Macaca mulatta: one gene and its partners. The protein of the gene in region 3 interacts with the protein of the main gene of each other region in a biochemical or structural test. Links are inferred from orthologs where the notes say so. Each region holds a gene or a part of one and is shown on either strand. Other genes may lie near its edges.

The links.
Region 1: the proteins of SH2D1B (region 3) and SLAMF1 interact in a test that uses a peptide from one of them, tested with the Homo sapiens proteins (2 studies listed by BioGRID). The link is inferred for Macaca mulatta from reciprocal best matches to the Homo sapiens genes SH2D1B and SLAMF1.
Region 2: the proteins of SH2D1B (region 3) and ERBB2 form a complex in vitro, tested with the Homo sapiens proteins (2 studies listed by BioGRID and IntAct, with this or other methods). The link is inferred for Macaca mulatta from reciprocal best matches to the Homo sapiens genes SH2D1B and ERBB2.

What each region holds. Positions count from the first base shown.
Region 1 is NC_133406.1:106,184,289-106,188,440, reverse strand, and holds the start of SLAMF1 (signaling lymphocytic activation molecule), read right to left. Parts: upstream 2,861-4,152; 5' UTR 2,488-2,860; coding exon 2,412-2,487; intron 1-2,411.
Region 2 is NC_133421.1:64,070,474-64,074,121, reverse strand, and holds part of ERBB2 (receptor tyrosine-protein kinase erbB-2), read right to left. Parts: coding exon 3,559-3,648; intron 3,097-3,558; coding exon of another isoform or gene 2,995-3,096; intron 2,844-2,994; coding exon 2,683-2,843; intron 1-2,682. UniProt on the Homo sapiens protein: Protein tyrosine kinase that is part of several cell surface receptor complexes, but that apparently needs a coreceptor for ligand binding. Essential component of a neuregulin-receptor complex, although neuregulins do not interact with it alone.
Region 3 is NC_133406.1:104,486,886-104,491,218, reverse strand, and holds the start of SH2D1B (SH2 domain-containing protein 1B), read right to left. Parts: upstream 2,818-4,333; 5' UTR 2,687-2,817; coding exon 2,553-2,686; intron 1-2,552. UniProt on the Homo sapiens protein: Cytoplasmic adapter regulating receptors of the signaling lymphocytic activation molecule (SLAM) family such as CD84, SLAMF1, LY9 and CD244. In SLAM signaling seems to cooperate with SH2D1A/SAP.

The DNA of each region.
Region 1 (4,152 bases), about 1.7 Mb from region 3:
TGGTATAAAGCAAGTATGCAGTATATACTAATATTATTCACTCAACAAACATTTGTGTACAGGCTTTCAGTACAGAAACAGTGTCAGGTGCTGCACAGTGGCTGTTGTTCATTTTGTTTTCCCCACACCTTGCACCCTTGCACCCTTGACAAATGATGTGGCTGCCACATCATTTGTCCTTAATAGCTGCTGAATGGGATCATTCAAAGTCAATCTATGGATAAAAACAATTAGCCCTGATACTCTGATTTCCAGTCCAGTGAGGGAGACAATGAAAGTGACAGCATCACATGACATCACAGTATTAACATTTTTGAGAAATAGAAGTGCCTAGATTGACATCTTGGGATAGAATGGGCCACTGAACATACAAGGTTAGGCCAAGTCTAGAACCCACGCACTTGTCCCTCACCTTCCCCCAAAGTGTGTGAAGGGGGTGCGGAGGACCTGCATGGAGGAATAAAAAAACTCACTGAGGTAAAGTCATCAATTATAACAAATGTACCACCCTGGTGGGGGATATTGATAACAGGGGAGGCTATGCATATATGGGGCAGAGGGTATATGGGAAATCTCTGTTCTTTCTGCCCAACTTTGCTGTGAACCTAAAACTGCTCTAAAAAATAAAGTCTATTAAAACAAATCTCATTGGGGAAATGAAAAATTCACTTTACTTGGGGAAGGGACATGTGGACTTTTTGATTTTTACAATTCTGACTGGGAATTAGAAGTTGAGCTGAGTAGAAATGAGAATGGGAGTGGGTGCCAGTTTTACAAGTATCAAGCTTCTTGCTTGGGCAAATCTGTCATGACTAACCTGCCGCATTTGCAAAGCATTTCTTCCTGGGTTTTATTGGGGCTTCACAAAAGGGTGTGTATTTAAAAATAAAAACACTGAAAAGCTTTTGGAAAGATTCAAAGAAGAAAACATGCAATGAAGTGAGCAGCCTCCGATTGGATAGACTTGCCTTGTGGGGCTGGGCTGCTTCTCCCTGACCGGTGACTTCCAAAGCCTCAGTAGGACCAGCTATTGGTCAGCAGTGCCTAAGATGCTATGGGCCAGGCTGGCCAAGAGGCTAGCAAGCACAGAGATGGAAAAGTCCAGCTCACAGTTCAGCACCATCACTCCTTACAGTCACCAAGAAGTGCTCCAAAAATGGTGCAGTCACAAATTGGTTGCAACGAGGGAAGCGTGGCTTTCCCTGTGACCACTTAAAGTGGTTCAGTTTGGTTTTCTGAGCCCTGAGCTCAGTTCTGTCTCTCCTAGACCTTGGGAAGTATGACCCATGGGTCTGCAGATTCCAAAAGGAAGTGGCTGAGCAAGCCCTGTTCATCTGGCTGTCTGGTAAAAGACACATCCATTGTGCAGCACCCCCACATCCCTGGTATATCTCGGTGCTTTTCCTGGAAAAGTCCATATTGGATTTGCGGTCTTGAAAACCCCAAGCTTAAAACACCCTGGGCCTCAGGATTTCCCCCCTTGTCCGTAATGCCACCTCTTCTACTCCAGGCTACCTCCCACAGTCTAAACAAATAAGCAGAAAGAGATTCTCACCCCACTCACACAGGCAGTCCAAAGTCCACTTCTTGCTTGGCTTTTTCTTTCTCAAATACCTTTTCTCATAGCCCTGATACTTCTAAACAGAAAGCAAGAGCTTGCCTTGGGAAGAAGATATCCAGAAAGACAGGAACAGAGTCCAGATCCAAAGGTAGCCCTTGTCTGGCCTTCCTGCTGGAGCTACTCTCTGAGGGTCCCCAATTTGCATTTCCCACATACTGTAACCAGCCCTAGGCTCCAGAAATCCCAACTTCTTCCCTCTTGCTTTCTTGGACCTTCTCTTCCAAGAAAATACACACCAGTATGACCACATTGTGGTCACTGCTGGTTATTAGCCAAAAGCCTGGAGTTTTCACTTCTACTCTCTCTTCCCATTCTAGCCAATGCTTTCTGTTGACCCATGCTCCTGGTTTGTCAGGCTGCATGGGCACAGATTCCCTCCTAGGGCAGGGATGTAGGGCAAATCATCTCCCAGAGCTCACTCCATCCAGCTCAGTCTCTCTAGGCTGGATCTTTGCCAGAAAAATGCCCATGTAAAACCAACCACTCAACCAGGACTTCTACCAGAGCCTGTCACCCTAAGACTGGTCAGAGAAGTGACTGGAGCCTTTGGCTTAGAGCTCCTCATTTCCTTGGAAGAGGGGCTGGTGGGCTTGAGTCTTGGAAACCCAAGGGCCCAGGAACTCATAATGTTCCTTCCTCTTTGAAAGAGGCAGTTGAAACTGACAGCCAGTCCCTAAGGAAGAGTGACCAAACACAATCCCCAGCCCTGCACCTTCTCTCCATCCACGAAAATATGCTGATTCCAGGCAGCTAACGTGGGACTCAAACCAGCAGGCAGATGAACACTCACCTGTTCCATAGCTTGCCCCAAAAGCCAGGGAGAGAAATAACACAAAGGTCAAGGAGAGGAGCCCCTTGGGATCCATCAGCCAGTGAGGAGAAGGAAGGGGTCCTGGTCAGAGCCTGGCAGCTGCTCACAGACGCTAGGCAGAGCGAGCTTCGTGTCATGCAGTGCTGCCTCTGCTGTCTAATTTATGTATCAGGAACCAGCAGGTTCCTGAACCCGCTTCCTGTATCACCGGGACTTTTTCTGCTTGTGTCTTGAGGATTGCTCATCTCCCATGAGGCTTTAAATCACTTTTTTCTTCTCAAGAAGCAGGCTTCTCAAGAAGCCAGGCACTTAGCCTATGGGAGCCAGGAAAGGGGGTGTGTAGTCACTTCGGCCAAACCCCGGCTTTGGGCAGAAACATGCACCCCTGCTTCTTTCCTTAGCTGCCTCCAGGAACCGGATGTTGCAGATTATCTGAGCAGTTCTCTCCGGTAAGTCTTCTTGGATTGCAAAGAAAAGATGTTTTGTCAGATCACTCCTCAAATTTGGCAGTTCACAGCTGAATTTAGATGACTGCATTTTGATGAGCTCATAGACCTCTTACTTCTGTTTTATTTCATAATTTCAGATAACACTTCAACATGTAGTCTGGTGCGGGTGCCACTGTCACAGAGAGATGGGATGGGCAAGTGCGGGTCACTTGGAAGAAACCCTGTGACCCCAATGAGTGCAATGTGGTATAATTTAGTGTCCCATGCTCCTAGTTTGTCTTCTCACATGTGTGTGGATTCCCTCCCAGGCAGGGATGTAGGACAAATCTATCCCAGAGCTCCATCCTTCCAGCTCAGTCTCCTTGTTGTGTTTGTTTTTTCCTAATTTTTAACGTCTGTGTGTACATAGTCAGTATGTATATATATAGATGTATGGGGTATATGAGATATGTTGATAGAGGCATGCAATGTGTAATAATCACACAGGGTAAACGGGGTATCCATCACCTCAAACATTTATCCTTTGTGTTACAAACAATGCAATTATACTTTTAGTTATTTTTAAATGTGCAATTAAATTATTATTGACTATAGTCACACTGTCGTGTTATCAAATACTAGTTCTTATTCATTCTTTCTATTTTTTGTACCCATTAACCATCCCCACTTCTTCCCCAACCCCCACTACCCTTCAGCCTCTGGTAACCATCCTTCTACTCTCTGTCCACAAGTTCAATTGTTTTACTTTTTACCTCCCACAAGTGAGAACGTGTGAAGTTTGTCTGTCTGTGCCTGGCTTATTTCACTTAACATAATGATCTTCAGTTCCATCCACATCGTTGCAAATGACAGGATCTAATTCTTTTTTAGCTGAATAGTACTCCATTGTGTATATGTAACACATTTTCTTTATTCACTCATCTGTGATAGACACTTAGGTTGCTTCCAACCTCGGCTATTGTGAATAGTGCTGTAATAAACATGAGAATACAGATATCTCTTCAATATACTGATTTCTTTTCTTTTAGGTGTACAACGAGCAGTGAGATTGTGGATCATATGGTAGCTCTATTTTTAGTTTTGTGAGGAACCTTCAAACCATTCTCCACAGTGGTTGTACTAACTTATAGTCCCACCAACAGTGTACAAGGGTTCCCTTGTCTCCACATCCTTGTCAGCATTTGTTATTGCCTGTCTCTTGGATAAAAGGCTTTTTAATTTAACTGGGGCTGTGTTGTATTCTGGGAGTTGCCTTTATTTTAGAGTTTGTG
Region 2 (3,648 bases), on a different chromosome or scaffold from region 3:
TCTCCAGCCAAGGAACCCGCATGCCCCTCTCCCCTGCAGCCCCTTGTGGTGGGTAGGAAGCAGGGAGGGCACCCAGAAAGGCAAGTAAGGGAGCTCAACTATTCCCTCCATAGAAGAATCTCAGGGTAAACTGATACGACTTCTCCAGAGAACGGTTTGGCAACACCTACGAAATATTATCTATGATGCAGCAAATTCTCCTCTGAATACAGACCGTACATATTGCTTGCAAATGCTTTTGTCACTTAACAGAATCTTGCAGTGTTTTTCCATGTTCTAATACCGTGATCTGGATCTAGGATCCATATGGATCTGGACCCATATTCTCTTTTTTTTTTCTTTTCTTTTTTTTCTCGAGATGGAGTTTCGCTCTGTTGCCCAGGTTGGAGTGCACTGGTGCAATCTCGGCTCACCGCAACCTCCGCCGCCCAGGTTCAAGCAATTCTCCTGTCTCAGCTTCTCAAATAGCTGGGATTACAGGTGCCCACCACCACGCCCGGCTAATTTTTGTATTTTTAGTAGAGACGGGGTTTTGCCATGTTGGCCAGGCTGGTCTTGAACTCCTGACCTCTGGTGATCTGCCTGCCTCGGCCTCCCAAAGTGCTGGGATTACAGGCGTGAGCCACTGCACCCAGCCCGGACCCATATTCTTTTAATTTTTCTCATTTAGTTGTCTTTAAATTGAAACGCATGAATACATCCTTGTGATAAACATTGCCAGCACTATATACCCTAAAAATGCCAATGTGTGGACACTAGGGGGCATACAGAAGAATGCTCACTTGTGTATGGAGCTCAATTGCAATAAACTGCGAAAACAGGGAAACAAGCTCAATATCCCTCAAAAACAAAGTGAAATTACATCCATGTTATAGGTTGAATAATTAAAAAAGAATAAAGATGGTAGATCTGTCTGTACTCACAAGAAAGGATACCTCAAGTCGGAGGGAAAGTAAACTGCAGAATAGTATGAAGAGAATGATCCCATTTACATTACAAAATGTACACGCACACAAATCTGATGACAAGTGGAACTATATGAAATTGCTGTTTCTTGACCTTTTTTTTTTTTTTTTTTGAGACAAGAGTCTTGTTCTGTCATCCAGGCTGGAGTGCAGTGGCACAATCTAGGCTCATTGAAACCTCCGCCTCACGGGTTTTCTCCTACCTCAGCCTCCCGAGTAGCTGGGATTTCAGGTGTGCATCACCATACCCGGCTAATTTTTGTATTTTTAGTAGAGACAGGGTGTCGCTACGTTGGCCAGATTGATCTCGAACTCCTGATCTCAAGTGATCCGCCTGCCTCAGACTCCCAAAGTGCTGGAATTACAGGTGTGAGTCACCGCGTGCCCATTTTTGGTTTACACAAACAGCAATCTTATTTGACTCAACCTAATATAAATGTAGTGTGTCTATATAAGTGTGCAGAAAAGAGCCCAGAAGGATGAACACACAAGTCAATGCGGTGGTTCTCCCAGCCCACAGGAGAGGCTGGGTGGACAGGGAGTTGAGTGGTTTTGTAACATTTATACTTTTATGTTACTGAAAATGTTTATCACAAGGATGTATTCATGTGTTTCATGTGTAAAGACAACTAAATAAGAAAAATTAAAAGAATAAGGTAGATCACCATGTTAGAACATGGAAAAACATTTCAAGGTCCTGGAAAGTGAGAAAAAGCAATTTGCAAAAACAATATGAACTATGATTCTATTTGGTAAAAAGAAATATATGACTGGGCATGGTGGCTCACCCCTGTAATCCCAACACTTTGGGAGGCCGAGGCTGGCAGATCACCTGAGGTCAGCGGTTCAAGACCAGCCTGGCCAACATGGTGAAACCCCATCTACTGAAAATACAAAAATTAACTAGGCAAGGTAGCATGTTCCTGTAATCCCAGCTACTCAGGAGGCCAAGGCAGGAGAATTGCTTGAACCCAGGAGGTAGAGGCTGCAGTGAGCCAAGATTGCACCACTGCACTCCAGCCTGGGTGACAGAGTGAGACTCCATCTAAATATATATATATATATGTGTGTGTGTGTGTGTGTGTGTGTTAGAACGTGCACAGATAAAAATAACTGGAGAATAATATTAATGTATGTTAACTTATATATACATATTAGAATGTGCACAGACAAAAATAACTAGAGGAAAAATATTTCAAATTATTAACAGTGGGGATAGAACTGCTAGGGCATTAATTTATATTTCATGTTTTAATTTTACCATTTTAACAATGTGTTATTTTTATTTTTATTTTTTTTGAGATGGAGTCTCGTTCTGTTGCCTAGGCTGGAGTGCAGTGGCGCAGTCTCAGCTCCCTACAAGCTCCGCTTCCTGAGTTCATGCCATTCTCCTGCCTCAGCCTGCCGAGTAGCTGGGATTACAGGCGCCCACCACCACACCCGGCTAATTTTTTATATTATTTAGTAGAGACGGGGTTTCACCGTGTTAGCCAGGCTGGTCTCAAACTCCTGACCTCAGGTCATCTGTCCGCCTCGGCCTCCCACAGTGCTGGGATTATGGGCGTGAGCCACCGTGCCCGGCCCCAACGATGTGTTATTTTTGCCATCAGAAATAAGATATGATAAAGGGAGAGTTGGTCCCCTTTTATAGTAAGAGCCCCAGAGAGACCCCTGAAAGGAAAGTCCTCCTTTCTGCAGAAAAGACCCTCAGACTCACGAGTGGGTGCAGTTGATGGGGCAAGGCTGGCACGTGCCCTCCTCATCTGGAAACTTCCAGATGGGCATGTAGGAGAGGTCAGGTTTCACACCGCTGGGGCAGCGGGCCACGCAGAAGGGAGGGTCCTTATAGTGGGCACAGGCCACACACTGGTCAGCCTCCTGGGAGGGGCAGAAAAGGTTTGTAGGGGGCTAGCACTGACACCCCCAGGGCAGTAGGATCAGGCCCTTAGTTGGGTCCCCTTTGTGCTTCCCAAGGCCACCCAGCAGCAATTTTCACCATGCTCCTGGGACAAACACCTCTGCTCTTCACCCAGTCTCTGTGGACCCTCCCTCGGGGCCCTCCTCCAAGCTTGATCCTGGGCGGGGACTTGAGCCAGAGAATGGGAGGCACCCAGAGAAGAAAACGCATTACCTAAGGTGTAACAGCGAGTAACAACAGTCACTGCTGCATAGAAAGCCTTTCCCGGGCTTCACTGTGCCAAGCCCTGTTTAATTTCATTCTCACCACACCCCAGCAAGGTAGGTACTATTACAATACCCATTTTAGGAATAAAACACCAAGGTTGGAAGCAGGACCTGGGTCTGAATCCAGGTAGTCTGACGCCTGAGCCCGCAGGGCTAACCACCCTAGCACAGCCACAGCCACAGCCGCAAACGCAGACCTCCTTAGAACCTTTTCATAGTCTGAAGGGCCCCAGGGTCCCCCGGGCCCCCTTTCCTGCCACTCTGCTGCTGTTCGGGTCTGAGTGCTGAGCCCTCTCCAGGGATATTTTACCAGACGGCACACCCTGCCGTGTCTCGCCATCCTGCCAAGTCCCTGGCAATCCCCCTCGCTGCACCCCTCCACCCAGCTCTGAGCCCGCCAGCAGCTCACCGGTCCAAAACATGTCACTGAGCCATTCTGGGGCTGACACTCAGGGTGGCACGGCAAACAGTGTCTGGCATTCACATACTCCCTGGGGAG
Region 3 (4,333 bases):
TCTTATCACTTCCCTGCTCAGAAATCATCCATGTTTCCCTGCTATCTATAGAACCATTCTTGTAAAACTCCATTATCTTATCCCACCCTCCTTTTCCAAAAGCTGGTTTCCAAACTACATTTTAGGAACCTTGTATGTAAATCCTTTAAAATAACCTAGTTCTAGACTCCTGTTCCTACCTCCTCCCCTTCATAAAATGCCCTCCATCCCATTTACATGTAATCAGATCTTATCCACTCTTTGTTTATTTTATTTTATTTGAGATGTAGAGTCTCTCTCTGTCTCACAGGCAATGGCGCAATCTCAGCTCACTGCAACCTCTGCCTCCTGGGTTCAAGTGATTCTCATGCCTCAGCCTCCCAAGTAGCTGGGATACAGGTGCACCCACCATGCCTGGCTAATTTTTGTATTTTTAGTAGATGGGGGTTTCATTATGTTGACCAGGCTGGTCTCAAACTCCTGACCTCAGTGATCCGCCCACCTCAGCTTCCCAAATTGCTAGGATTACAGGCATGAGCCACCGTGCCTTGCCAATATATATTTTTCTTTAAATGGTACTGTGGATGTAGGTATGAGAGAAATAGCCTGTATCTCCATTACCATTTAAAGAAAGAAATATGTCCCTATGTATTCTATTAGTAATGACAATCACCTTTGTCTATAATCAGACTTCTGAGCCTATTCCAAGGCCCATTTGTGTACTTCCTTGTAAAATCAAGTTTTGGCAAAGAACTCTACTATGTCAGTTTGGCAAGGACTCCTCCCTCACCCTAGCTATCTGATCACTGTCAGATTCTGATCAGATTCCTCATCCTCCACCATCCCCCAGGCAACATCTGATCACCCTGGCCTGTCTTCAGTTACAGTTCTGTTAGGCTGGCTTAGCCAGAATCCACTTTACCCCTGCTGTTTCCTCTGAGTAATTTTCTATCTACTGACAGCCACACTGCTCCTTGGCCATAAATTCCCACTTCTCCATGCTGGATTCAGAGTTGAGTCCAATCTATCTTCTGCACCGCAAGAGCTCATTGCAGTGGTCACTGTACCTTTGTGATGATCCTGAATAAAGTCTTCCCAACCATTATTTAACAAGGGACATTAAGCAATTTTTTTCTTTAACAAGAGACACTTGGATTTTAATTTCTGTTACAGGTATAGTAAAAGGTTCAGTGGTCCCTACTTTACAAAGAGGAACATACATAAAAATAGGAGGTTTCTAGTGATTTCTGTTCAGGATTGCTTTCTAAACTGGGCACAAACAAGTTCCTTCAGCTGGGTCTCTTTGATACTGTGGCCTGGAATTTTTTTTTTCTTTTTCTTTTTTCTTTTTGAGATGGAGTTTTGCTTTTGTTGCCCAGGCTGGAGTGCAATGGCGCCATCTCAGCTCACTGCAACCTCCGCCACCCGGGTTCAAGCGATTCTCCTGCCTCAGCCTCCCAAATAGATGGGATTACAGTCATGTGCCACCACACCTGTAATTTTGTATTTTTAGTAGAGACGGGGTTTCTTTTTTTGGTCAGGCTGGTCTCCAACTCCCAACCTCAGGTAATTCATCTGCCTCTGCTTCCCTAAGTGCTGGGATTACAGGAGTGAGACGTTATGCCCAGCCACTCTTTTTACTTTTTTTGGAACAGAGTCTCCCTCTATTGCCCAGGCTGGAGTGCAGTGGTGCAATTTCAGCTCACTGCAGCCTCTGCCTCCTGGGATCAAGTGATTCTCCTGCCTCAGCCTCTCAAGTAGCTAGTATTACAGGCACACGCCACCACACCAGCTTAATTTTTGTATTTTTGGTAGAGATGCGGTTTTGCCATGTTGATCAGGCTGGTCTCAAACTCCTGACTTCAAGTGATTCGCCTGCCTCAGCCTCCCAAAGTTTTGGGATTATAGGCATGAGCCACCACGCCCGGCCTGGAATTTCATATTTAACTTAGACTCTGGAAATTCCAAATGAGTTTTAACACAAACAAATTATTTGAGAAATTCAGGTCTCTGTTTCTTTACTTATGAAATGGTGACTGCTTATGCTTGCCTCGATAGACTACAAGGATGAAAGGAAATGATGAATATTGAAGTCCTTTACAAATCTGACAAAATGTGAAATATGATTGTATTTATAGTTTAACTATTGCAAGCGGATGCTGCAGAATAAGTAGTCCTTCAGATTGAAACTTCTTAAAGAACCCCTAGCCTTTTCCATACCAAATAAACAGATCTCTGGAGGACAGGACCTCTGACATTTTCTCCATCCCCCTGTACCTTTGCTCCATCCCCCTGCACCCCTATACTTTCTGCAGCCCTTCCCTTCCCCACCACCATATCCCTCCTGCTGCTGCAGAGTCTGCTTGCAGGGCCCTTACACTAGGGAGAGCAGGCAGATGGAGGAGCATGGACAGATACATTCCTGTCCTGGCAGTGTCCATTAGTTCTCACTCTACTCATTGAGACTCCAAAGTCAGAGTGAAATACTGAGGGATATGAATTCCTGTACTGTGTGGCAGCCATTGCCACATTCAACATACGATGTCAGATGTGTGCAAAATGAGGCTACTCACGAGACACAGAGGCACAGGACTCCTGGTATCGACTCGCTGTCTCTTAACAGAAAGTTGCCATCCACCCCTTCCTTGAGCAGCAAGGTCTCACAGTCTTGCTTGGTCAGACGTCCGTGGTAGTAAGGCAGATCCATGGAGAACCCTCTTGTATCCCAGGTAGCCCTGTTGGCCTGAAATTCACCCCCAAGTCAAGGGACAGCTCTGGGGAGAGATGTGCAAGCAGTTGTACCTACTGTGGAAATACCTCTTCCTCTAGTGGTCTGCGGGACTCAGCCAGCTTCACAAGATTCAGGAAATTAGAAGGGCGGGGTTATAAAATGACCAACACTTTTCACCCTCTAAATGGCCCACATGTGACTTGCAGAAGTGGGTAAAGCACATTTAAACACACAATGGAATCAGTGATGCTCATAGCTAGGGAGGCAATGCTGAAGTCAAGCTTCCTGGAACTTGTTGAAGCCTTGTATGTTACCATGGACTATTATCACCTCTGGCTACTGGTATCCCTTCCAGGAAGCACACCACTACTTTTGCTCTAATGGTACCCACTTTCTGCTGAAGTTGCCTAGGATTGGGCTATGCTTGCCTTAGACTGGGTGCTCAAAAAGCATTTGGATGCTGAGAGAATTGATACGCTCAGATACAGTGGGAAAATTGAAAGGGTGGGATTTCCATGGGTCAAATGACACTAAAAATGGAAGACATTAATGGGAATAAAAAACAGTGGGACACTATGCATGAGGACAGCCCATTCCATGGCTAAGGCTCCCAGCCACTGGTGAAAAAAGGCCATTTGAACACCTTCAAGCATTGTTCCTTTTGGAGAAAGGGCTGGTGCAGGTGGGAGGGATATCTGGGTATACTCATACATCTACAGAAAATCAGTATATATATCTCAAAAATGTTATCTATGAAAATAGAACTATGTGCTAATGATTCATCTTTACTTCTCTTAGCTTCTTCTTCTTTTTTTTTTTTCTTCATCTCTGAAGTACCTGGAGATCTTAACTTCTTAACCTAGGTGTTTATTTCACCTTGCTCCTTTGCTTACCAGCTGTTTACTCACACTTGGGTGTATCTTATATGGAACTTACTTGTAACAGATCTTTGTTCTTCCTTGGAATTCCCACTCTTTGCATTTGGCATAGGGTAGTTTCACTGATTGAGGAACTTGTTATCAGAGAGATATGCTCTCAAATAGCAACATTTCTTCTGTGGTTTTGGACAATTCATCATTCAATTCTCTGGAAACTATGGCAGTTGAAGACAGAGTTGTTAATAACGAAAGAAGAAATTTGGTAATTCTTGTGAATAAATTCACAATTGTGGTGTGAAGATGCTTTTTGACATAAGAGAGGAAATAACAAAGCATGCTCAGGCTCTTGGTCATCACAGGGGCTTGCTTGCCCTTTTTCCTGTTTCAAAATCCAATCCTCACAATAAAAGAAATTCAAATTACCTCCATGCTGAGATAACAATTCTCACCTATCATATTGGTGAAAATCAAAAGTTTGAAAGCTTACTGGGTTGGTCATGGTGAAAGAAAATAGAATATCTTGTATATCATTCGTTGGAATAAAAAATAGTTACAACTATAGTAAAAGATGGTTTGGCAATATCTTGCAAATTTATGTATGACTTCACCATCTGATAGAACAATCTCAGTTCTAGAAATCTATCACAAAACTACACAGGCAGAATTGGAAAATGACTTGTGAATAAGGTAGTATTTTTTAATAGAAAAAGATTACAAACAACTCAAAAACTTGTGAATAGAGGGA